Linked DNA regions of Tamandua tetradactyla. Each later gene encodes a partner of the first gene's protein in a complex. Links are inferred from orthologs where the notes say so. Each region holds a gene or a part of one and is shown in the gene's direction. Other genes may lie near its edges.

Region 1 (7,289 bases):
TTGTTCTGTACAGCAATGTAACTAAGGGAGGTGGGGACCACTGGGTAGATAACAGTGATCCCCAAAAAGCTTGGAGTGGGCAAAACTGAGTTCAAAGTGCTCCCTTTGTTGACTGTATCAAGGCAGCTGGAATTGTCAGACATCGGGACACTGGGTCACCCTGTCCAAGCTCACAAGAAACCTAGAGGGAGGATAAGATGCCAGTTTGTTCATTTATCACAGTGGGGGTGGGGTGGGGACCTCTTTGCAGGTCCAGCCTCCAGAAAGTCCAATCTCTGAGGCCCTGAATAGCCAAGACAATCTTGAAAAAGAACAAAGTTAGAGGACTCACACATTTCCTCATTTCAAAACTTACTACAAAGTTATGGTAATTAAAACAGTGTGGTACTGGCATAAGAATAGATTTATAGACCAATGGAATAGAATCAAGAGTTCAGAGTTAAATCCACACATTTATGGCCAGTTGATTTTTGACAAGGGTGCCAAGTCCATTCAATGGGGCAAAGAACAGGCCCTTCATTGAGCAGTGATGGGACAGCTGGAAATGCTCATGCAAAAGAATGAATATGGACCCCTATCTCTCACCATTTATAAAAATTAATTCAAAATGGATCAAAGACCTAAATATAAGAATACTATACAATACACAGAGGAAAACATAGGGAAATATCTTCAGGACCTTGTAGTAGGCAATAGATTTTTAGATTTTTAACCAAAAGCACAAGCAACAACAAAAATAGATAAAATGGGACTTCATCAAAATTAAAAAAACTTTTGTGCATCAAAGGGCATTAGCAAGAAAGTGAAAAGACAATCTATGGGATGGGAGAAAATACTTGGAAACCACATACCTGATAAGGGATTAATATTCAGAATATATAAAAACAGCTACAACTCAACAACAAAGCGATAACCCAATTAAAAAATGGGCCAAGGATTTGAACAGACATTTCTCCAAATATGACATTGAAATGGCCAAAAAGATTATGAAAAGATACTCAATATCATTAGTCAATAGAGAAATGCCAATTAAAAACTGTAACGCATTAAGTAGATATCACCTTGTTGTTCAAGATGTAGTGGAGAGGCTGGAGGGAACTGCCTGTAAATGTTGAGCTGTGTTCCAGTAGCCATGTTTCTTGATGATGATTGAACAATGATATAGCTTTCACAATGAGACTCTGTGAATGTGAAAACCTTGTGTCTGATGCTCCTTTTATCTACCATATCAACAGACGAGTAGAACATATAGAATAAAAATAAATAATAGGGGGAACAAATGTTAAAATAAATTTAGTTTGAAATGCTAGTGATAAATGAAAGGGAGGGGTAAGGGGTATGGTATGTATAATCTTTTTTTTCTGTTATCGTTTTATTTCTTTTTCTGTTGTCTTTTTATTTCTTTTTCTAAAAAACTAACACACAAAAACTATAATTATAGCCACTAGTATGGCTATAATTTTAAAAAATGAAGGAATTAAAAAAACAAATGCTGGCAAGGATGCAGAGAAAGAGAAACCCTGTACATTATTGGTGGCAATGTAAAGTGGTGCAGCCACTGTGGAAAAGAGTTTGGCAGTGTGCTGGTTTGAAAGGAAGTATACCCCCTAGGAAAGCCATGTTTTAATCAAAATATCATTTCATAAAGGTAGAATAATTTCTATTCAAAGTATGTTTGAAACTGTAATCAGATCATCTCCCTGGATGATGTGATTTAGTCAAGAGTGGTTGTTAAACTGGATTAAGGGACATGTCTCCACCCATTTGGGTGGGTCTTGATTGGTTTATTGGAGTCCTATAAAAGAGGAAACATTTTGGAGAATGAGAGATTCGGAGAGAGCAGAACAATGTAGTCATGAGGTGCAGAGAGTCCACGAGCCAGCAACCTCTGGAGATGAAGAAGGAAAACGCCTCCCGGGGAACTTCATGAAACCAGAAGCCAGGAGAGAAAACTAGCAGATGACGACGCCATGTTCACCATGTGCCCTTCCAGCTGAGAGAGAAGCCCTGACTGTATTCGCCATGTGCCTTCTCACTTGAGAAACTCTGAACTTCATCAGCCTTCTTGAACCAAGGTATCTTTCCCTTGGTTCCCTTGGCCTTTGATTGGACATATCTATAGACCTGTTTTAATTGGGACATTTTCTTGGCTTTGGAACTGTAACCTAGCAACTCATTAAATTCCCCCTTTGGAAAAGCCATTCCGTTTCTGGTATATTGCATTCCAACAGCTAGCAAACTAGAATAGGCAGTTTCTCAGAAAATTAAACATAGAAGTATCACATGACCCTATAATTCCACTCTAGGTGTGTACCCCAAAGAATTGAATGCAGGGGCTTGAACAGATCATTGTACACCCAAAGTTCCCTGAAGCACTGTTCATAGCAACCCAAGTGTCCATCAACATATGAATGAATAAACAAAATGTGGTCTATCCATACAACGGAATATTATTCAACCGTAAAAAGAAGTGAAGTGCTGGGACATGCTACATCATGTATGAATCTTGAAGACATTGTGTGGAGTGAAATAAGTCAGACACAAAAGGATAAATATTATATGCTTTCTCCTTATGAAATATTAGAAGCAAGTTATAGAGACAGAGAGCAGAATAGTGGTTACCAGGGTGGTGGAAGAGGGGAATGGGGAGTTATTGTGAAACAAATATGAATTTTGGTTTAGGATGATGGAAATATTGTCTGGAAATAGATAATGGTGAAAGCAGTATTTGCATCGTACTTATGTCAAAGAACTGTCCACTTAAAATGGTTAAAATGAGTTTTATGTTAATGTATATATATTTTACAATTAAAAATAAACAAATAAAAATCAAAACAGTGTGGCAAGTACTTGGATAGACGCTCAGGTCATAAGAAGTGTAGGGCCTTCACCAAAGCCAGGGTGCCTGCTTGCTCTAAGCTAGGCTTAATTTGTGTTTTTATCATGTGCAATTAACTCAAAACTTAAGCAAAGATTTTGCCTATTGCAGTTTTTGTTTTGTTTTACGTCTGCTCTCCTAGCAAAATGAAGTAGCACACCGATTTTGGTCCTCAGATTTTCAACAATCCCCAACTTCAGACTTCAGACTTTTTTGGTGGGGAATGAGGCATAGAAGATTTTGCTCACAAACAGGGAACTTCTTCCACGGCGGTAGGGGTGTGCTGACTCCTTTTACTTTTCCTAGGGCAGACGATTAATTGATGCTAAAAACAATCCCAACACTCCAGCTGAAGCTCCTCTTGTGTGGCAACATTAAACAAGAAAGGGGCATGTTCCAGAACAGGGCAACTTCTAGGAAATCAGCAGGTATTGCAAGCTCTATTTATTGCAATGGGCAAACTGTATCTATTCGGGAAGCTGAAGATTTTGGTGGGTGTGAGGATAGGGGTTAGAGGATGGGGCAGGAGGTGGAGCGAGGTCTTGGAGGTACTGGAGTTAAGGTGATCACTTTCTGGCTTTGTCCCTCTGACATGGTAACCATCCATGACCAGGCCCACTCCCATGGATGGAACATGTAGGTGAGGCACGACGGCACGCCCACGTCCTGATACCCAGCTTTGGGGCTCAAGGCAGGAAAACTCACGAACCTTTAAGAAGTTTGTATTTTGAGTGCCCTTGCCTGGGCATCAAGTTGTTCTGCCTCACTGCCCCCAGGGCCTCCACGTAGTTTTGGCCTGGCCGGAAGCTTTGACTCCTCCGGGTTTTGCCCTCCGTGGAGCGCAGCGGGAGGCCTCGGCATCTGCCCGCGGGCAGAAGGCGGGCCAGAGTCGGCCACCTCCGGGCAGAACTCCGGGGCTTTCCTAGACATGCGAAGTCTCGGGTGGTCTCCAGCCTAAGCCTTCCCAAAGACCCTCCTCTCCCTCTGGCGGTCGAAGGAGGAGCCCAGGGTCACAGAAAGGAAGCCCGGGGGTAAAACCCCAGCCTTGCCCGCCACGCTTCCCGACCTGGGCCCGACCGCCGCCTGCACAGGGAGCCCCTCAGGTGCCTCCCGCCCAGCAGCAGCCCCCGAGCCTCCCTCTCTTCCCCCGGCACGGGTCCTGCGGAGAGACTAAGGGGCGGGAGCTGCCCAGGGAAACTCGGCAGTTGCCTCGGGGGGCAGCCGAGTCGGCAACCCCACCCTCTGCAAACAGGGCTTTAAAGACCAGGGCGGGCCCACCCGTGCCCACCCTGGCCGTGGATGCCCCTCCCCACTCCCGCCCAGGCCGCACCCACTTAGGGGCGGGGGCGGCGGGACCTAGTTCCCAGTCGGCGGGTGCTGCTGCTTTAAGCGGGGGCGGGACTGCGCGCGGCGGAGCGGCGACGGCGGCGGCCCGGCTGGCTTAGCTGGGGGTCGCGGGCCCGGGGCTGCAGGAGGCCGGCGGCCGAGGTCGAGGTGAGGGCGAGCGCCCTCAGCGGGGACGGATAATCGGCCCCAGGAAGTGCGCGCGGCGGCTTCACGGGGCCGGCCCAGGAGTGGGGAGGTTTCCGCGGCACGGCAGCTCCGGGAAGGGATAGAAGGAGGCTCCGACCGCCCCGGGCTCCCCCGGCCTTCCCTCGGAGCCCGGTCCGGACGGCGGGGCATAGCGGCAGCCTTGAAACCTCCGCTCGCTGCCGGGCCCAGATGGGGCGAAGCGGATGCGGAGGGCTAGCGGGCGCGGAAATTGGCCCTCTGCGCTCGCCGTAGCACGGCCTGGGAGGCGGTCGCCGAGTGTCGGGGTGGAGTGGCGGCGGGGAGACGGTGACAAAAGGAGGGAACCGGAGGGCCGTTTGGGACCGGAGGAAGCGGGCGAGGGACAAGGGCCCCCTCCCCCGACGGCGCCCCCTCTCCGGGCCAGCCTGGCGCTCCCCCCCAACCCGGCCTCCACGCAGGTACCTGACTCTCCGGATCCGGTGTGGAGAGCGAAGGTAGCGGCTACCACAGCGCCCCCTCTGGCCCGGCGGCGCCGCCTCAGGCTCGGCGCGGCCGGGCGGGCTTTGGGGGTCTGCAGGGTGCGGGCGACGGGTTACCCGGGCGCGACGCCGCCCCCTGGCTTCTGACCTGGGCCTGGCGCGGGGGCTGGGCGGAACCGAGGCCCGGCCCCTCGGACTCCGGAGTCCTGGAGCTGCTCTGGGAGAGAGTTGGCATGGGCGGTCTCCTCTCCTCAGACTCCTGGGGCCCAGCGGAAGGCGGGACCTCGCGTCGCGGCACCCCGAGGAGTGGAAGACTTGACGCCTCTGAACTCTGCGGGCCGGCGAGGACTTGAAAACGGGCTCCGAGGCTTGGACGAGTTTGGGCAGGCCTGGGCAGGAGCAGGGGGTTTCTTAGGCAGGAAGAGGCCTTGACTCTGAGGTTTGGGACTCTCGTTGTGGAGATGCCGGTGGGGGAGGGGGATGTCTTAGGTAATTGGAGGAGAGATTGTGACTTGAAAGAGGCAAGCAATTGCCAGGACCCTCAGCAGGGCTGACAGAATCCTGGTCTTAGTTTCGTTAGTGACTCTTCTTGTCCTGAGATAGTGGACAAATGCTAGGACAGCTACCGGCGGTCCTCTTTTGTCTGAGAAATGACCAGAAGGGACTCTTTGGTTTGAACTGCAGGGGAGCATGTCCTCCTGCAGACACATTATTGTTCTGTCTGTTGAAGAAAGACGAAAGCTAAGCTGTGAAACCACCTCTTAATGCAAAGTAAAATCAGGCATTTATATATGCAGGGAGGATGGGTGAAAGAACAATTTCACCAGGTTCTCTAGACATTTTGGCCACAGCTCTTAAAATAAAAAACAAATCTCATTCATTCAGGTGTGTCCACCTGGGAGCAGCGATTTTCAAAGTGGTGTCAACAGTCTGTTTTCTATTCATTTTTTTGAAGCATTTTTTATTCATTCATTCGAAGAGTTCGGTTTTTTTTTTCAATTGAGTGCCTAATCTGTGACAGCTGCAAACAAAAATTTACAGCTTCCTGTACCCTTCACTGGGGCACACAGCCTCTCTGGGTGGTGCTTGGGAATCCACCTTTGTCACCTGTTGGTTTTAATGCACACTGAAGTTTGAGAACCAGATTGCCTAGGATAGGGGTTGGCAAACTCGTCAGCAGGCCAACTCCAGCCCGATCTCTGTTTTTATACTCTTGTTTTCATACTGTCCTTGAACTAAGGAATGGCTTTTACGATATTAAATGGCTAAGAAAAAAATCCAAAGCATAATGATGTTTCAGGATACATGAAAATTATGAAATTCAAATTTAGCATGTATAAATAAAGTCTTACTGGAACATAGTCGCACATTTGTTTACATGCTGTTGTCTGTAGCTGCTTTCTGGCTATAACAGCAGAGCTGAGTTGTTGCAACAGAAACTTCATGGCTGCAAAGCCTAAGATATTTTCTATCTGGTTCTTTACAAAAACAGTTTGCTAACCTCTGGCTTAGGGTAAGAAAGACGAGGGTAGGGGAGAAAAAACAAATGTGTTTAAACATTATGTTTAGATACATTTAGTAGACAAAATGGATCTAGATAAATTTTATTTAAAAAAAACAGAGGAAATAGTGTCATATCCTTGATTAACACAAAAATAATTTAGATGAGCATAGGCATTTAGATCAGCTTTTCACAGATTCTGAACCTGTGCCTTGATAAGTTGGCTAACTAAATGCTTCTTTTCATAGGCTGGTATGAACTCATGGACCTAAAACCATTCTCTTAAGAAACAGACTAGCACAAAAGAAAAATGGCGTTTGTTGCAACACAAGGGGCCACGGTGGTTGACCAAACCACTCTGATGAAAAAATATCTTCAGTTTGTGGCAGCTCTCACTGATGTAAATACACGTGAGTTGATGCTTTTCGTCACGTAGGAAATGCATTTATTCGTCCTCAGTTCAAATGATGTGCACACTGAAATAAATAATATCCTAATTTACACTTTCTTTAGGTCTTGTGGAGAAGCAAAGTGATGAGCTTAACTGGCTGGAGCCCCAAAGAGGCACGTGTGTTTGTGCGTGCATGTGTGTGTATGTATTTGTATGCTCATCTGGGCATGTGTCTGGTGTACGAGTGTATGTGACTGACTGTAGGCAACTAGTTATGTGCCTTCTGTTGGGCTGTGATGGTCAAACTGATAAGATCTGATTGTTTCTCTTAAATTATAAAACTTAAGTAATTTTAGGAACATCCTTAACTTAATTTCAGTTACTAATGATTTGTTTTGACATTTACAGCTGATGAAACGAAGTTAAAGATGATGCAAGAAGTTAGTGAAAATTTTGAGGTACATACTTTATATTTTTTATTTTCTGTTATAAATATCCACATATATGTACTTTCCTTTTGCCGCTGTT
Region 2 (7,766 bases), on another chromosome or scaffold:
AACGAATACCATTTACAATTGCAACTAAAAGAATAAAATACTTCAGAATAAATTTAACTAAAGAGACAAAAGACCTATACAAAGAAAACTACAAGAAACTGTTAAAAGAAATCACAGAAGACCTAAATAGATGGAAGGGTATACCGTGTTCATGGATTGGAAGACTAAATATAGTTAAGATGTCAATTCTACCTAAATTGATTTACAGATTCAATGCAATTCCAATAAAATCCCAACAACTTACTTTTCAGAAATAGAAAAACCAATAAGCAAATTTATCTGGATATTTCTTTTTCTAAATCGATGCAAATGGTCTAAGAAATGGTGAATTGCAACTATGTGATGATATTAAGAATTACTGATTGTATATGTAGAATGGAATATCTTAATGTTTTGTTTGTTAATTTTTTTAATTAATAAAAAAGTTTAAAATAAATAAATAAATAAAATATGAGACTAAAAGAGATATCAATTTAATGATTCAGCATTCATATTTATTTGTTAAGTTCTATCTTCTATGTATAATTCCACCATCACCTTTGATCTTTCCACCCCTCTCTTTGGGATTGTCTGGGCTATTGCAATTCTAAATTTTTTATATAGGAAGGGTTTTTCACTAATATGGGGTAGGGAGATGGAACTGTCTGATGTTCTGGAGCGGCTGGGCTAGGTTTCAGGATTTATCTGGACCAGGGACGCATCTGGAGGTTGTAGGTTTCTGGAAAGTTACTTTACTGCCTAGAACCCTTGTGGAATCTTATATATTGCCCTAGGTATTCTTTAGGATTGACTGGAATGGTCCTGGTTGGGGGTTGGCAGGTTATGACAGGTAGCAAGGTCTACCTGAAGCTTGCATAAGAGCAACCTCCAGAGTAGCCTCTCAACTCTATCTGAACTCTCTCTGCCACTGCCACTTTATTAGTTACACTTCTTCCCCCCCTTTTGGTCAGGATGGAATTGTTGATCCCACGGTGCCAGGTTTGGATTCATCCCTGGGAGTCATCTCCCACGTCACCAGGAAGACTTTCACCCCTGGATATCATGTCCCATGTAGTGGGGAGGGCAATGATTTCACTTGCAGAGTTGGGCTTAGAGAGAGTGAGGCCACATCCGAGCAACAACAGAGGTCCTCCAGAAGTAACTCTGAGGCATGCCTATGGGTAGTCTAAGCTTCTCTGCTACCTACATAAGCTTCACAAGAGTAAGCCTCATGATCAAGGGCATGGCCTATTGATTTGGGTGTCCCTAAAGTTTGACACAGTATCAGGAGATTCCCTGATGGTAAGGTTTAATAGTTCCATGGTATTTTTCCCCTCCCTCAGGGGACTTTGCCAATGCTTTTTGATTATCTCTTTAATATACTCTAGGATGTTTCCAGGCATTACAGTAATCTATACAGGATAAAAGACCGCTTTCTTATTCTGTGCTTCCTGTGTTTCAGTTGTTCAAATGAGCTATGCAGATAGGTTGAATTAGATTATGCACTACCAAAAATTTCAGTTCTAGACCAAATAAATCTTCCTTCCATTGGTTTCAAAGAGTATGTGTGGTTCTAAAATACAGACACTGTCTTCCTTACCCCTATGTTCTGAATTACTTTAGCCCCAACCTGTTTGATGTCATTCTTATCTCTAAATATAGGTTATATATATATGTATAAAACAGTCTCTCAAAACCCAATCCACTTTTATCCTGATGACCCACTCAAACAGTCAGATGTCCGGACATGGATCTGTAAATGGTTTCTTTCTCTGAAGCTTTGTAAGGTACCAAAAGGGTCTGTAGTGCCTGCAGAACAGAAAAACCTGATTGCTTAGCCTCTAGACTGAAAACAGTCCAGCAACCGCAGAAGCCTCGATTTCCTCTCGTTTGTTACCGTACAAAGGCAGTGGATTCCTTTGCCCAAAGCACTCAAATGACAATTCCTGAGATACTGGGGTTTCAGAAAGAAAAAATTTATTGCTAGGCACGAAGCAAGAGATCAGATGGCCCATTGGCCCAAAAACCTGTTACCCCGAACTGCACTCATTCTGATCATTTTACAATGTTAAAAGATGGGCAGGTTTTAGGATAATGAGCACAATGATCCCAGCTGATATAATAAGAGGTGATCTAATTATTAAGCATGCGCAGATCCATTACATGCTTAGTCACAGAACGTATGTAAGAAAATGGCAGTCTTAATATGATGATGGGTGTGGGGTTTTTTTGTTGTTTTTTTGTTTTTTATTTTGGCATGGGCAGGCTCTGGGAATCAAACCCGGGTTCTCTGGCATGGCAGCTGAGAATTCTGCCACTGAGCCACTGTTGCACTGCCCAATGGGTGTGATTTATTAGTATTATAATGAGGTACAGGTGACATAAGTTAAAGTCTAAGGTACTGTGCATGTCAGGTGGGCCTAGGGGGTTAGATCCAGTCTCAGTTTTCAGGAAAACTCTGGACTTGCGGTGGGTTAGTTCTGGGCTGACCCAGGACCCTTCATTAATAAACATTAGGTGATGTCTTTAATAATCGCAAGACTCTAAAGTTGAGAAATTGGATAAATGGGTACAAGTGAGGTGAGTCACAAGGTTTTTACAACCACAGAGGCACAACATAAAGGTTAAACAATCATTACCAGCAATCAAGGCAGCTGGATTACAGTTTAAAGATTTCAGGTATTTCCCTCTATCTACTCCAATATACCAAAAAGCAGTATCCATGTAATGATTTGATAACCATACTCATTCCTTAAATTCTCATTTCTTGGTTACACATTTACTGTGCATTACTCTTAACAACACTAGCTAAGGTAGGGAGAGCTATAGGGGCCTGCTCTCCCAGATTCCCCATCACCAACCTTTGGAGTGGGTGCCACTTCTCCTTCTACCAGGGGGAAGAAACCCAGGTGTATACCGCTTCAGGAAACCTGCCTGACTTCACCAGCTAACAACATGCAGGTGGGTTTTGTTTTTTTAAATTTTTATTGTGAAATAGCTTACAGGAAAGTTGCAAGGATAATTAAAAAACAATGCATAGAACTCTAATGAACCCCCCATTCAGGTTCCCAGATTTACTTTTAGCATCTTGCCACATTTGTTCTACCTTTTTTTGTTTTGTATGCTGCATGGTGGGGTCACATTTCATGCATATGAGTATCCCGTTATTGTAGCACCATTTGTTGAATTTTTTGTTTTGCTTGTTTGTTTTTTGGAAAGTGCATGGATCGGGAATTGAATGTGGGTCTCCCGCATTCCGTCTTTAAATATTTGAGAGTACTGTTGCATATATCACACTCCAAAACTTAACACTTTCAAGTATATTTCCCAAGAACTCTCACTTATGTCATCACCTTAAGTACAGTCATCACGTTCAAGAAATTTAACGCTGATGTTAAGTTTATAGCCCACGTCGGAATTTTTTTCAGTTGCCCCAGTAACGTCCTTTTGAGTATTTTTCTCTTCTGTTCATATTAGTTTCCAGTGCATACTCATGTTTTGCAATTAATTGTCATTGTCTCTTTCTCTTTTTAAATCCTGGAAACATATACAAGGTAAACTGTCCCATCTCAACCACTCCCAAGCGGACGTATTCAGGGGCATTAACCACATTCACAATTTGTGTTAAGGAGGCAGGTTTTAAACCTAGATCATCTGACTCCAGCATGAGATGTCACCTGCTGCTCTACACTGCAAACCAGCCACTTTGGCCTTGGAAAGAGCCCAGGAGCTGATGCAGGTGCGGTCCTCTAACTCATCAGGCAGCCTGTGTCTACTATGTTTCGATACAATTTTCTTAAGTATCTGTCGTGAGGCGAAGGGGTGCGCCACTACTACATGTTGACTCAAACGGGTTTAAACGAGAGAGTCAGGCGATATAGCGGCGTCCAAGAAATAGCTAGGAAGGGAAGAGGAGGCCCTGATTCACACCGAGGAAAGGCGTGAGGGGGTCAAAGCCAGCGGAGACCAGGAAAATAAGCCAGTCCCGGCCTGAGGGAAGCAGGGGAGGGTCGGTACAGGCTATGGGGCGTGACCTTGGGGGGCGCTTGTCCTGCTCGGGAGACCAAACGAGGCAGCTCTGGAGCTACTATTTTACAAACACAGACGGGCCTTACTTGCAGACCCTTCGCTCGGAGCAGGCTCTCTCCCTCCCTGATTTCCTAACTTTACTCAAAGGTCTTCGCCGCGAGGCCACCCCCATCCCAAGCCCTCGACCCTCCGTGAGTCTTCCGAACAGGCTATAGATTCTCCTTGATTTGGCTTATGTCTCTCCCCTGCTAGACCGTCAGCGCCACGACGGCTGGACCTCTGTCCGTCCCGGGCCGCAGGGCAGGGCCCGGTGCAGCCCATGAATACTGGCCGAGCTAATGAATGGCCCCAGAGGAGACGGCCACGGTCAGGGCCTGCCCAGCCTCGCCGCGCGGGCCAGGGATGAAGACGGTTCTCAGCCCCGGCCTGCCTGCGTCCCGCCCTCCCGGCCCACCTCGGGTCTCCACGTCTGAACCCCCAGACCCGACGGCCGCCGCGGACCACACGCCGCCGCCCCCATCCCAACCCATCCCATCCCCCAATCGCCCGCCGCCCCCGCCTCCGTGGCGGCCGCTCCGCGCATGCTCGGCGGCGTCGGGACGCGCGGCGTGCGGAGGAGGAAGACTGCTTGGGCGCAGGCGCAGAGCCAGCCCGGCCCGAGAGGGGCGGTGCGTCCCCTGCGCGTGCTACCCATGGGCCCCGCCCACCAACCGCGGCTCTCGCGCGGGCGCGCACGCGCACGGGGAGCGGAAGGGCGGGGGCGCGCGCACGAGGCTGGCGCGGGCGGCGGAAGCTCAAGCGACCGCCCGTGGTGGGAGGAGGGGAGTCGGCGCGTGAGCGCGCAGCGGGACCGCGGAAGGCGTGTGTGGAGGGGGGGCGGCCGAGGCGGACGGGCGCGCGCGCGAGGCTTCCCCTTGCTCGGTGACGGCGCCGGCGGCGGCCTCTTTGTTTGGTGAAGAGAGGCGAGACGCCCACTCTGCCCCCGGCCCCGCGCGGAGGGGCGGGGGCGGTGCCGGGAAGGCGACGCCGCCGGCGGCTCCCGGTAAGGAACGCGGGGTGCGGGGAGCGGCGCCGCGCGGGGCGGGGGAAGACGGTTTGAATGGAGCCGGGGCGCCGCGGGGGGAGGGGGCCGCTGGCGCCTGGAGCGGGGCCGGAGTACGGCGGCGCCCGAGGGCCAAGAAGCCCTGGCCCGCAGCCGCGCGCGCGGGCCCGGCCATAGCGGAGCGAGGCCGCGGTGGCTGCAGCAGCATCCGCGGGCGGGCGCGGGGGACTCCGGGCCGCGTGGAGACTGCGCGTCCACCCCCCCCGTGCGCGCGCCCGCCGGGGTCGCTGGACAAAGCTCGCCTCCCGCTACCGTCCCGGGGTCCAATCCCCCGTCTTCGCGGCTGCAACAATAGCCAGGCGTCGGGACTTTTCTGGCTACGTTCTAACCTGTCGGACCCCAGTGCGATCCGGGAAGAACCCAGGTGTGCCCGCTGCCGCCGGGACGCGAGCATCAGTAGCCCCCTGTGTAGTCCCAAAGCCGGCCTAAAAATGTATTTAAAAATCACGGCATTCTAGGTGTTCCAGGAAAGGTCAATGACTCCCCCAGTCCCGCGGAGGTAGCGACTTGAAAACGTTTGCCCCGAAGTGGGGGAGTTGGGGTGGCGGCGGCAAGTGCCTGGCAGCTCGGAGGGAAATGTTTGCTGTTGAAAGCATTGTTTTGTTTGGCACCCTTTTTTTCCCCCCTCCCTCCCAATTTATTTTCAACGTTTAGGCTCTTTTTAAATCGTGAACCTTTCCGGGAGTATTTTGGTGTCCGTCTTGATTTTTCTTTTTTTTTTTTTTTGTTTAGAGGGTGGATCCTGCGGGAAAGTAGAAAGTGGCAAGAGCCACTTCCCAAGCGTTTGAAACAAGTTTTCAATGTAAATTGTCAGACTGGATTCCACTGAGTGTGATTCCTGGCGCTGACAGTCGCCTGGCTGTGTGACCTTAGGCAAGTAGCTTGATCTCTCTGAGTCTCTGGTCTTCTCCCTAGTGAAATAGGGATAATATTACAAATGGAGTTGTGGAAGCCTGTAAAATGGTTCGTGGCGGGTGGAAAGCACTGTTTATTGTCATTTGTCTGGTTCAATCCCCTCTTTCATGGTTCAGCAAATAGTGGTTGAGTCCCTACTGGGTACCACATGGTTTGGGGTTGGATGCCCCTCTTTCATGGTGTAGCAAGTATTGGTTGAGTCCCTGCTGGGTGCCAGATGGTTTGGGGTTGGGTGCTTTCAAGACCAGTCTTGTAGAGGAAGCCGACCTTTAAATAGATGTGGGTGGTATGGGAACAAATCACTTTGGCTTATCGTTTAATCATTTAACAGCCTATCTAGAATCTGGGGGAGAGGGGAGAACCAGGGTTTAGGGAGGCTGCATGGAAGAGATGACATTCACACATACTCAGGGAAGATGCTCAGGGCTGGGTTTTGACTGGCAGGGATGCAGCTTTAGGGGCACCTTCCCTGACTGCCTGGTCTGGGTCGTTGCACCTGTCTGCTGCCCATGTTGCTTCCCCGTGTAGCAGTCACCCCGATTTGTAATTACACATCCATCCCACTCCAAGCACTGTTGGAAGGAGCCACGCCTTCCTGGTTCCCAGTGGCAGCCCAGGCTTGGCATGGTGCTGGGACCGGGATGTAAGCAGTGAGTGCTAGTTGCTGGTTTCAGTGTTTTAAGTTTCCAGGCCGGTGTTTGCCAAACTGTGGTCCCTCTGGAATTGAGGGTGTGTGGGCATCTTGGGCTGGTGATTAGTGTGGGGTAGTGGTGAGGAGGGCTCAATCTGGACTCAGACTTCCTGGGTTCACATTCACCCTACAAATTCCCAGCTTGACCTCGAGCAAGGCGCTTAACAGTTGATCCCCCAAATTGTGACCCTGTAAACGGTTGTTGGGGAGGGGGAGTGAATGAGATAGCAGGGGGAGTGCCTGGCACGTAGTAAGCACTCAGTTTGTTAGTCTTTATGTTTACTTCATCTTGTGTGTGTGTGTGTGGTCAGTCATCTGTTTTAGAAACTAAAAACATAGAGTCACTCTACACCCCAGAAGCCCCAGGTTTGCTGTGCTGATTATATAATGTGTGTGTATTTAATTCCTTTAAAATCAGCGCACATGCACTTATAAAGGAATAAATATCCCTCCCTCCGCCTCAGTCATCATTTCGTGTCCATCCTTTCTGGGGATGTTGCTGTTGGAGGTTGTGGGGCAGGGGAGTAGCATCAGCAGAGTCTGCTGTAGGGCTGTGCCGTGGTTCCCAAACTCTTCCTGTTGGTGAAAAGATTGATTTAGGTGAGCACCCTCACAACAGGAATAATTCTTTACAAATTGTTTGCATACACCTGCCCCTCCTTGGGGAGTAACCCTGGCCTACCCCTTAACACCTAGCCGTTTATTATACATGGAGAGAGGGGGAGGGATGAGGTATGTCGAGTGAGTGTCCACTTGAGAAAACATTCTACCAGCGAAGAAGCAGAGGTCCAAGGATATTTCATCACTGGGGGGCTCTGAAGTCAACCACCAGGTTTGAATCCTGGCTTCGCCACTTCTCCTCTCTGTGCCTCTGTGCAGTGGGGAGGGCAGGACGGCAGGTAGTGCAGCCTCACCCATGCTGGCCGTGCTTGGCCTCTGCCCTCAGTGCGACCCTGGCACAGAGGTCACCTCAACCCTAGACAGATGACAAGCAAGCGTGGCGACTCCTGGAGCTTGCGGGAAGGGACCCTACCACAGCTTCCCGGTTGG
Region 3 (7,732 bases), on another chromosome or scaffold:
CAGCCGTTCACCACTCTTCTGATCTTTGCAGCGCTCTGAGCCAGCCAAATCACAGAGTGATAGCCTAGAATGATGGACAGGATCTGATTTAAGGACTCCACATGTTATGAGTCTTCTAGTCCTCTATAGTTCTAAAGAGGGGAGAGCCTACCAAGAATGTCTGTGCCCAAGGGAGGAGAACATAGGATCTAACACAAGTAATTCCTCTGAGGACCTCCCACATATTACCATTTAGGATCTAGAAACCCAAATTTCTAGACAAACTTACTCGCTGATCTTGGGGACTATATCCCCTTCCCCCTGAAGGTGTAGGATCCGGATTGAGAAGATGCTGTGACTAAAAGTTAAGGGAAAAAAATGTCATTGTATACCTTCCATGACTGGGCAGAGGACTTGTGTTTACTGGAATACAGTAAAGGTTGACTTTTACCTGCGACTGGAGTTCTGGTTCAGGTGGGTGCTGGCAAAGCTCTGGTTCTTACGACCCACTTTCAGGAGTTTCCACGCCTCCTCAGCATCCTGAACATGAATCCAATTGAGGTCTTTAGGCCAAAGGAGAGAAGGGCATAAGATGGGTACACTCAATCAACTCTTTTCCTAGTTTCTCCCCCAAACCCCCTCCAGTGTTCATGACATTTCCTACGTCTTCCCATACCTTTCACATAGGGATTGCCATTCTGATCTTCGCACAGCCGCAGAGTCTGCCTCTTGCGCTGCTGGCTAGGTGGTTCTAACAGGTCATAGATCATCTCATTGTAGATTTCAAAGAAGGAGATCCAGATGGAGAAGCGAATGTGTGCTGGGACACTTACTGGGGCTGTGTCTGGTTGTGCCCATCGGTCACTTGTTTCTGGGGAAGGAGCAATGTACAGGGCATTAATTCTAGAGCAGTCCATCTCCCTTTTGGCCTGCAGGGGCCTTGGAAGGCAGAACTCAGGTTGTAACCTATGGTCTGAACCCTGGCAACTGTTGGGGCAGAGACTAAGTTTCTACTGTTACTTGGCAAAGAGACCAATTATGGTACATACCATCTAGCTGGCTACTGCTGGTAAACTGACTGGTAGAGGAGAGCCCAGCAATGCCACTGTCAAAGCTGGTGCTGGTACCCATCTGCAGACTTTCAATATAAACGCTTCGCTTCAGGGAAGTGGACAGCTCCTCCTGGAGGGGCCCAGAGAAGAGATAAGTCCAAAATTTTCCAAAGATATGTACCCTCACCCTTGCCTCCATGAACACTAACACCTCACCTCTTGTAAGCCTCCATTTAGCAGGGCCAGCTTCTTCATTTCTTCCTGCCTGATCTGCTTGCTATCTAGCCATATTACTTCATTGGAAAGCAAGGGTTTCAGATCAGGTATTGGATGAAATTGTCCTTGGAGGCTATTGAAGATCAGAGCCAGGGACCGGGGCAGGATCCCACCATCCTTGATGGTACCTGGAAGTATATGAGAGATGGACAACTGAGGCAGCTACCTTTCTCCCCCCAACTCAGAACATTAAAAGGCAAAGATAACATCCTCATAGGCCAGCTAGCAACCCTTTTAGGCTTTTCTACTTACCTTGAATTGTGTGGGTTTTCCCTGAGTTGGTGACTCCATATGTGTAGATGAGCCAGTTCTGCCCTTTGAGTACATCCTTTACCATCTCCTTCACAGTTAGGTTGAAGAAGGATGCCTGTCCCACTTCTGGTCCAAAGATCTAGAGACAAAGCCAATTTGTCAGTGGTATGTCCACCCTTCATCACCCATTCTCCCCCTGTGCAGATTTATTCCTCCATTCTTGGGTGATTGGCTCTGGAGACAACTTCAAACAGCCTCTTCCTACAGTGCTACAAGCTTGCCCCTAAATACTAACGATCCAACCACTTCTCTGCTAGTCCATCCTTCATCCAAATCAACAAATTCTTCTGGAATGCTACACACTCAATGAGGCAGAATAATGGTTCACAATGAACTTTAGGGATGGATGGCTCTGGATCCAAGTCCTACTGTACCATATATGTTACTTCATTGAGCCACAGTATCCTTGCGGGGAAAATAGGATTAACAACAATAATAATCACAACAATAGAGTCGTGAATTAATGCACATAAAGTACTTCAGACAGTACTAGCACATAACAGTACCCCTCCCCAAACTGTAGATGTGTACATGTGTGTATTTATATGCGTGTATATATATAGGTACATATACAAACTCATGCATGGCTATATACACATGAACATACAGAGAGTCACACACACAACTTAAGATCTCACAGTCAAGTAAAGAAGTGTTCTTTCTAGAGAGGAAATGAAATTGTCCCTAGATGCTGGTTCTTTGTTCACAGCCCAGAACCTTCATACCTGGGAAAAGGTGAACCTGTGGGTGGCTTGGCCAATTCCTCGCTCATTGCTTTTCAAGGCAAAAGAGTCCTTAGGTGCTTGTAGAACAAGAGTCTCTCCATTCTCAATGCGGACACAGCTCTGTGGGTGGGGAAAACAGTTGTCACAAAAGGAAGCATTCCTGGGAACTACTTCTATATTACATCATTCCATCTTGAGTCCTTCCTCCTCAGATACTCACCTGATCTTCCTGTCGTTCCAATTCTGAAGGTAACAAGGGCCTGATCCTCAGGTATACTTTCACTTTCTCGGTACTATCCTCAGATGGAACCTGTGGCAGAATTTCAACCCAAAAAAACAGATTAATCATCTGAGCAGATAGGCAAACATAGCACCGTTCTTAGGAATCATGCTAGTGATTCTACCCCCTTCTACCCCAAATGTCTCTGCAGGTACTCTTTGCTTTCACAATCATCCCAACTCATATGGACTTTTTCACTACTCTGTCACTCTTCCCTATCTCATCAGTATCCTGCCACTGTTCATTGCCATACTGATTATCTCAGAATTAGTTGACTGGTATGAAAGTCAGAATGTGATATTAGGGCAAAGCACAGTAGTTAAGCACTATAAAGGCAGACACACCTGAATTTGAGTCCTAATCCCATCATTTAATAACTATGAGACCTTAAACAGATTCTTTAAATTCTCTCTGCCTCAGTTTTTTTCATCTGTAGAATGAGGTTAATAATAGCACCCACCTCATTCATTCTACAGATATTTAGTGCCTATCATGGCTCAGGAATTTAAGAGGCTCTAGTAGTTCATAGTGAGGGTTATCATCAAAGCTCCTGCCCTTTATGAGAAAGAAGACTTTTGAAGACAAGATGTGACAATGTAGATTCAGTGTTTAACATAGGGCCTGTCTAGTACAGTGGTTCTCTAGCAGGGCAAACGTTCCCCCTACCCCTCCCCAAGCTCCCAGGGACATTTAGCAATGTCTGACTTTTTTGGGTCACCAGTTGGTTAGTACTACTGGCATCCAGGGGGTTGAGGCCTGGAAAGCTGCTAAACATCTTATAATTTCCGAGACAGTCCCCCACAATAAAGAATTATCCAGCCCCCGATGTCAATAATGCTGCAGCTGAGAAATCATGGCCTAACAAAAAGAAAGTCTCAATAATCGTAATGATGGTTGATATTATTAAAACCTGAGTGTACATTTCACCTACTTAATGGCAGTATGACCTTTTGCAAATTATTTAACAGGACTGGGAGGGACATGATGGTATTTTATTAATGCAATGCTAATACTAATTCTTCTTATTGAAACCCAACTCTACATTTTTGACTGGTCATTACCCTTCACTTTGAACCGATCTCTCAGAATCTCAGTTTTGCTTGCCTTTGACCTAACACCCTGTATAGACAACTAGTAGGGTGGAGATATCACTTTCTTACCCCAAGCCACGCCCCAACTCTGTTACCTGTTGCTTGTTCTCCAGGGAAGTGGAGATGACAGAGCAGTCTGACAGTAGGTCTTTGCGTATCACAGACCCTAAATCTGCAGCTGTAGACTCAAACATAGGGGAAACTGCGAGTTCCTCATCCGACAATAAGCCGGCTGGTGGAGAAAGGATCCCTTGTGACATGTCGGCAGGGACAGCTTTGGTCTGAAAAGAGACAAGAGTGGGTAGGGAGGAAAACTTTAAGGACAGAAGGGGTTGCAAATTCTAGGTAAGAAGCAATCCCCTTACCCTTGGAAACCTGGTTTGCCTGCCTGAATTCCTATTCCCTTTTCCCTCCAAATACGGGGAAGGGGTTGAGAGGAGGAGTTAATCTTTGAAACCTTTCTGGAGAGGCATTTCCGACCTTGAATAGGAAAGAAAAGAGATACACCTCCAAAACTAGAAGGCCAGTAGGGTACCTCGCCTTTCCGTACTATGGGGCACGGGCAGAGTCAAAGGTCAGGATCCCCAGGCTCCTTTTCCAACCTCTTCCCAAGTCCACCACGAGGGCAAAGGTATTAAGAAAAAAAGAGATGGTGGCGGTGCCCCCTTCTGAAAGCCCGTTCTGCGAAATCAAGAGCTGATAACCCGGGCTCCAGTCGAGCTGCACACTTACCTGAAGCCGCGACACTCGTTCCCGCTCCGGAACCGACTCACTCATTCAGCTGCGGATCCTGGACCTTAGCGGTCCGCAGCACAACTCCGCCCACGAGGCGCAGCTTTGTTACTGATACATTGTTTTAAATTACGCGCTCCGTTCACTCGGCCAATCAGACAAAAGAGCCTGCAGCTACCAATCAGCGCAAAGAAGGGAGGCGGGCGAAATAGGGGACTTCTGCTTCTATTTGACCTCTCCACTCTCACGTGGGTCCGGGTTACCAACTGTCGGAAATTTGGAATCGAGTCACTTCGGATTCGTCCGGCTTAACCCTTTAGCGTAACCCCTAGACATTTCATTTCCTAAGAAGCCTGAGGCTTCAGTTGCCATCCCCTGTCCTTCCTTAGCAACGCTACTTTAACTTGCGTACTCCGTTGGGGGAGGTGGGGGGGGGTCGGAAAAACAAACAAACAAACAAACCTACATTTCCCAGGAGTCATCGCGAACAAACTCCCGTACTCGATTTCCCAGAGTTCTCCGGGATCCGGTCCTACCTGACTCACACTCTTCCGGGATAGTAGACTTCGGGGCCAAGATGGCGGCAGGAACGGGCAGTGAGTGTCTGCGCTACTTTTGAGCGGAAGGCCATTGTAGAGCCGAGGCTAGGCACCAGATTTCAGTCTAACATTTAGGGAGTGGTTGGGGTGGTTTGGCTGAGAGCCCAGGGTGTCCAGAGACCTGCGCTTGACGGCGTAGTAAAGGCCAACGGTTGGGGGCCCGAAGTATAGGGTCCTGTGTCTCAGGGAGGGAGCGGAGGCGTAAGGGAAGTATTTAGCGAATCCCTGTATGTAGGGAGCTCCGCGGAGGAAGGCATAAAGGCGCTCTAGAAACTTGGGCGTGCAGACGCAGATTCGGCCATCATACGGAGGGGCTGGTGTCTCAAACATCAGTTCAGTTTCTAGCGAATGTGTTTGTGAGGCAGTGGAAATGGGGTCTTTTAATCGTGAGCTTTTTCTGCCACCGGGAAAATTGAGTTTCGTACATCTCAATTATTTTCCTTATGTTTAATAGGTAGAGAAGGCCTTTTAGGCCCGACAGTTGGGGGCGGGGTAATGAGACTAGTAAACAGTTTTATGCTAAGAAGGAGGCGGGGCAGCAGGCGGAGCTAGCCGCTCGGAATCCTGGGAAATAAACCTGTATTTTTAAATTAGAGAAAGTATTCTTAAAATTGGGGCTTTCGAGAAAACTTTTTCGGCTTAATACGTCATTTCCTATCTTTTATTAAAGCGGAGCTTGAAGCCTTGGGTTTTGAGGAAATCAAATGTTCTCCCATATACCACACACCGTGCAATTCTCATGCAAAGAATAAGTACCCCCCACCCGCACCCCGCACCGTGATACACAGCTATTTCGCTTTAACGGCGAAAATCCAGATTTGGTGCTATAAGAGCCTACTTTGTGCTAACAAGTTGGGTGTTTTGTATTAGGCTTTTAGTTCTCTGGTGCTTAAAACTCGTGTCTCTGGTTATCTGTATACTCTTTCTCTACTTTCAGAACACAAACTGTTGAGTTCTGGCCCCACAGAGCCATGGTCCATCCGGGAAAAGCTGTGTTTGGCATCTTCTGTAATGAGAAGTGGAGATCAGAATTGGTACGTTATCCATGATGTCTGTCTTGGGTCTTAGAACTGCTGGGTATTTTTTCCTGCTGTTGGATATAGTTAATGAATTATATTTAATTAATCTATATATTAATCTTTAAGCATCTTTTTTTTTAAACAGAGTTATTGAGATGTAAATCACCATAAATAATACAACTCATTGGTTTTAAGTATATTCATAGAGTTGTGCAACCATCACCATAATCTAATCTTGGAATATTTTCATTACCCCAGAGAGAAGCACTTAACAGTCAAGCTACATAACTTCCTCCACCCCACTCCCATCCCTAGGCAACAGCTAGTCTACTTTCCGTCTCTCTTGATCTGCCTGTTCTGGACATGTTGGTTTTCTGTGACTGGCTTATTTCACATAGGATAATGTTTTCAAATTTCATTTATAATATAGCATGTATCAGTACTTCATTCCTTTATGTGGCTGAAAAGTATATTCCATGTATAGATAGCCACATTTTGTATGCTCATAAGTTGGTAGAAATTTGGATTGTTCCCACCTTTTAGCTATTATGAATGATGTTGCCATCAATCTTTCTTGTTTTTGTGTGAACTTGTGCTTTAAATTCTTTTGGGTATATTAGGAGTGAAATTCCTGGGTCATATGGTAACTCTGTATTTAAGTTTGAAAGAACTGCCAAACTGTTTTCCAAAGCAACCACAGTTTTACATTCCCACTAGCATGAATGAGTATTCCACTTTTACCACATCTTCACCAAGACTTATTTTTGTCCTTTTGTTTTTAACTATCCTAGTGGGTGTGAAATGGTATCTCATTTGGTTTCGATTTGCATTTCCCTGATGATTAATGGTATTGAGCATTTTTTCATTTGCTTAGTGGCCATTTGTACATCTTCTTTGGAGAAATACCTATTCCGATCCTCTGCCCTTTTTTGGGGGGTGTGGGGGTGTGCAAGGTCTGGGAATCGAACCTGGGTCCCCTGAATGGAAGGCAAGCATTTTACTACTTAAGCACTTGTGTACTCTGCTTTGCCCATTTCTTAGTTATTTATCTTTTTATTTTTGAGTTGTAAGAGTTCTTTATATATTTCAGATACAAATCTCTTATCACATAGATGATTTGCAAATGTACCAGCAATGAATGAATATTCTGATTTCACCATATCCTCCCCTTCTTACTCTAGAGTAGTCTCCATTAAGTTTGATATGTCCTTTCATAAATTTTTCTATGTGTGGTTTGTGGACATGTTTAAATTTTTTTTTGAATAAGAATAGGAACATCATATATACATAGTTTTTAGCTTGATATTTCATTTAAGACAGTATGTGGGTATTTTTCTGTCAATACACTAGATATGATCTTATTCTTTTTAAAAACTCAGTAGTATTCCATTGGATATACCATAATTTGTTTTACATTTGTCTTCTACGGGCATTTAGGGGTACAGTTTTCTCTTTGTATCAGTATTTCTATAGGATAAGTTCCTAGAAGTGACATCGCTAGATCTGAGATATGCACATTTTCAATTTTAAGAATCTTGTAAGATACTAGACTTCTCAAAATTTTTCTGTTTAAAATAAATTGTATTTATTTCCTTGTGTGTTTTCTCATTTTATGAAAGGTACGTATAACTGCTAGTCAGATAGTTATTTCAATAGATGAGAAAACC

Evidence for each region.
Region 2: TRRAP (region 1) and SMARCA4 share a complex: the UniProt entries of both Homo sapiens proteins name them as parts of the BAF53 complex. The link is inferred for Tamandua tetradactyla from reciprocal best matches to the Homo sapiens genes TRRAP and SMARCA4.
Region 3: TRRAP (region 1) and BRD8 share a complex: the UniProt entries of both Homo sapiens proteins name them as parts of the SWR1-like complex. The link is inferred for Tamandua tetradactyla from reciprocal best matches to the Homo sapiens genes TRRAP and BRD8.

What each region holds. Positions count from the first base shown.
Region 1 is NC_135349.1:6,908,345-6,915,633, forward strand, and holds the start of TRRAP (transformation/transcription domain-associated protein), read left to right. Parts: upstream 1-4,273; 5' UTR 4,274-4,372; intron 4,373-4,661; exon of another isoform or gene 4,662-4,884; intron 4,885-5,023; exon of another isoform or gene 5,024-5,308; intron 5,309-5,341; exon of another isoform or gene 5,342-6,618; 5' UTR 6,619-6,680; coding exon 6,681-6,780; intron 6,781-6,890; exon of another isoform or gene 6,891-7,087; intron 7,088-7,169; coding exon 7,170-7,219; intron 7,220-7,289. UniProt on the Homo sapiens protein: Adapter protein, which is found in various multiprotein chromatin complexes with histone acetyltransferase activity (HAT), which gives a specific tag for epigenetic transcription activation.
Region 2 is NC_135337.1:90,868,785-90,876,550, reverse strand, and holds the start of SMARCA4 (SWI/SNF-related matrix-associated actin-dependent regulator of chromatin subfamily A member 4), read left to right. Parts: upstream 1-4,759; 5' UTR 4,760-4,867; intron 4,868-4,933; exon of another isoform or gene 4,934-5,050; intron 5,051-5,349; exon of another isoform or gene 5,350-5,474; intron 5,475-7,766. UniProt on the Homo sapiens protein: ATPase involved in transcriptional activation and repression of select genes by chromatin remodeling (alteration of DNA-nucleosome topology).
Region 3 is NC_135346.1:17,856,245-17,863,976, reverse strand, and holds the start of BRD8 (bromodomain-containing protein 8), read left to right. Parts: upstream 1-4,725; 5' UTR 4,726-5,024; coding exon 5,025-5,043; intron 5,044-5,983; coding exon 5,984-6,080; intron 6,081-7,732. Other genes in the region: kinesin-like protein KIF20A, read right to left, coding at 1-64, 269-337, 431-542, 656-850, 1,029-1,161, 1,248-1,435, 1,560-1,698, 2,345-2,464 and 3 more. UniProt on the Homo sapiens protein: May act as a coactivator during transcriptional activation by hormone-activated nuclear receptors (NR). Isoform 2 stimulates transcriptional activation by AR/DHTR, ESR1/NR3A1, RXRA/NR2B1 and THRB/ERBA2.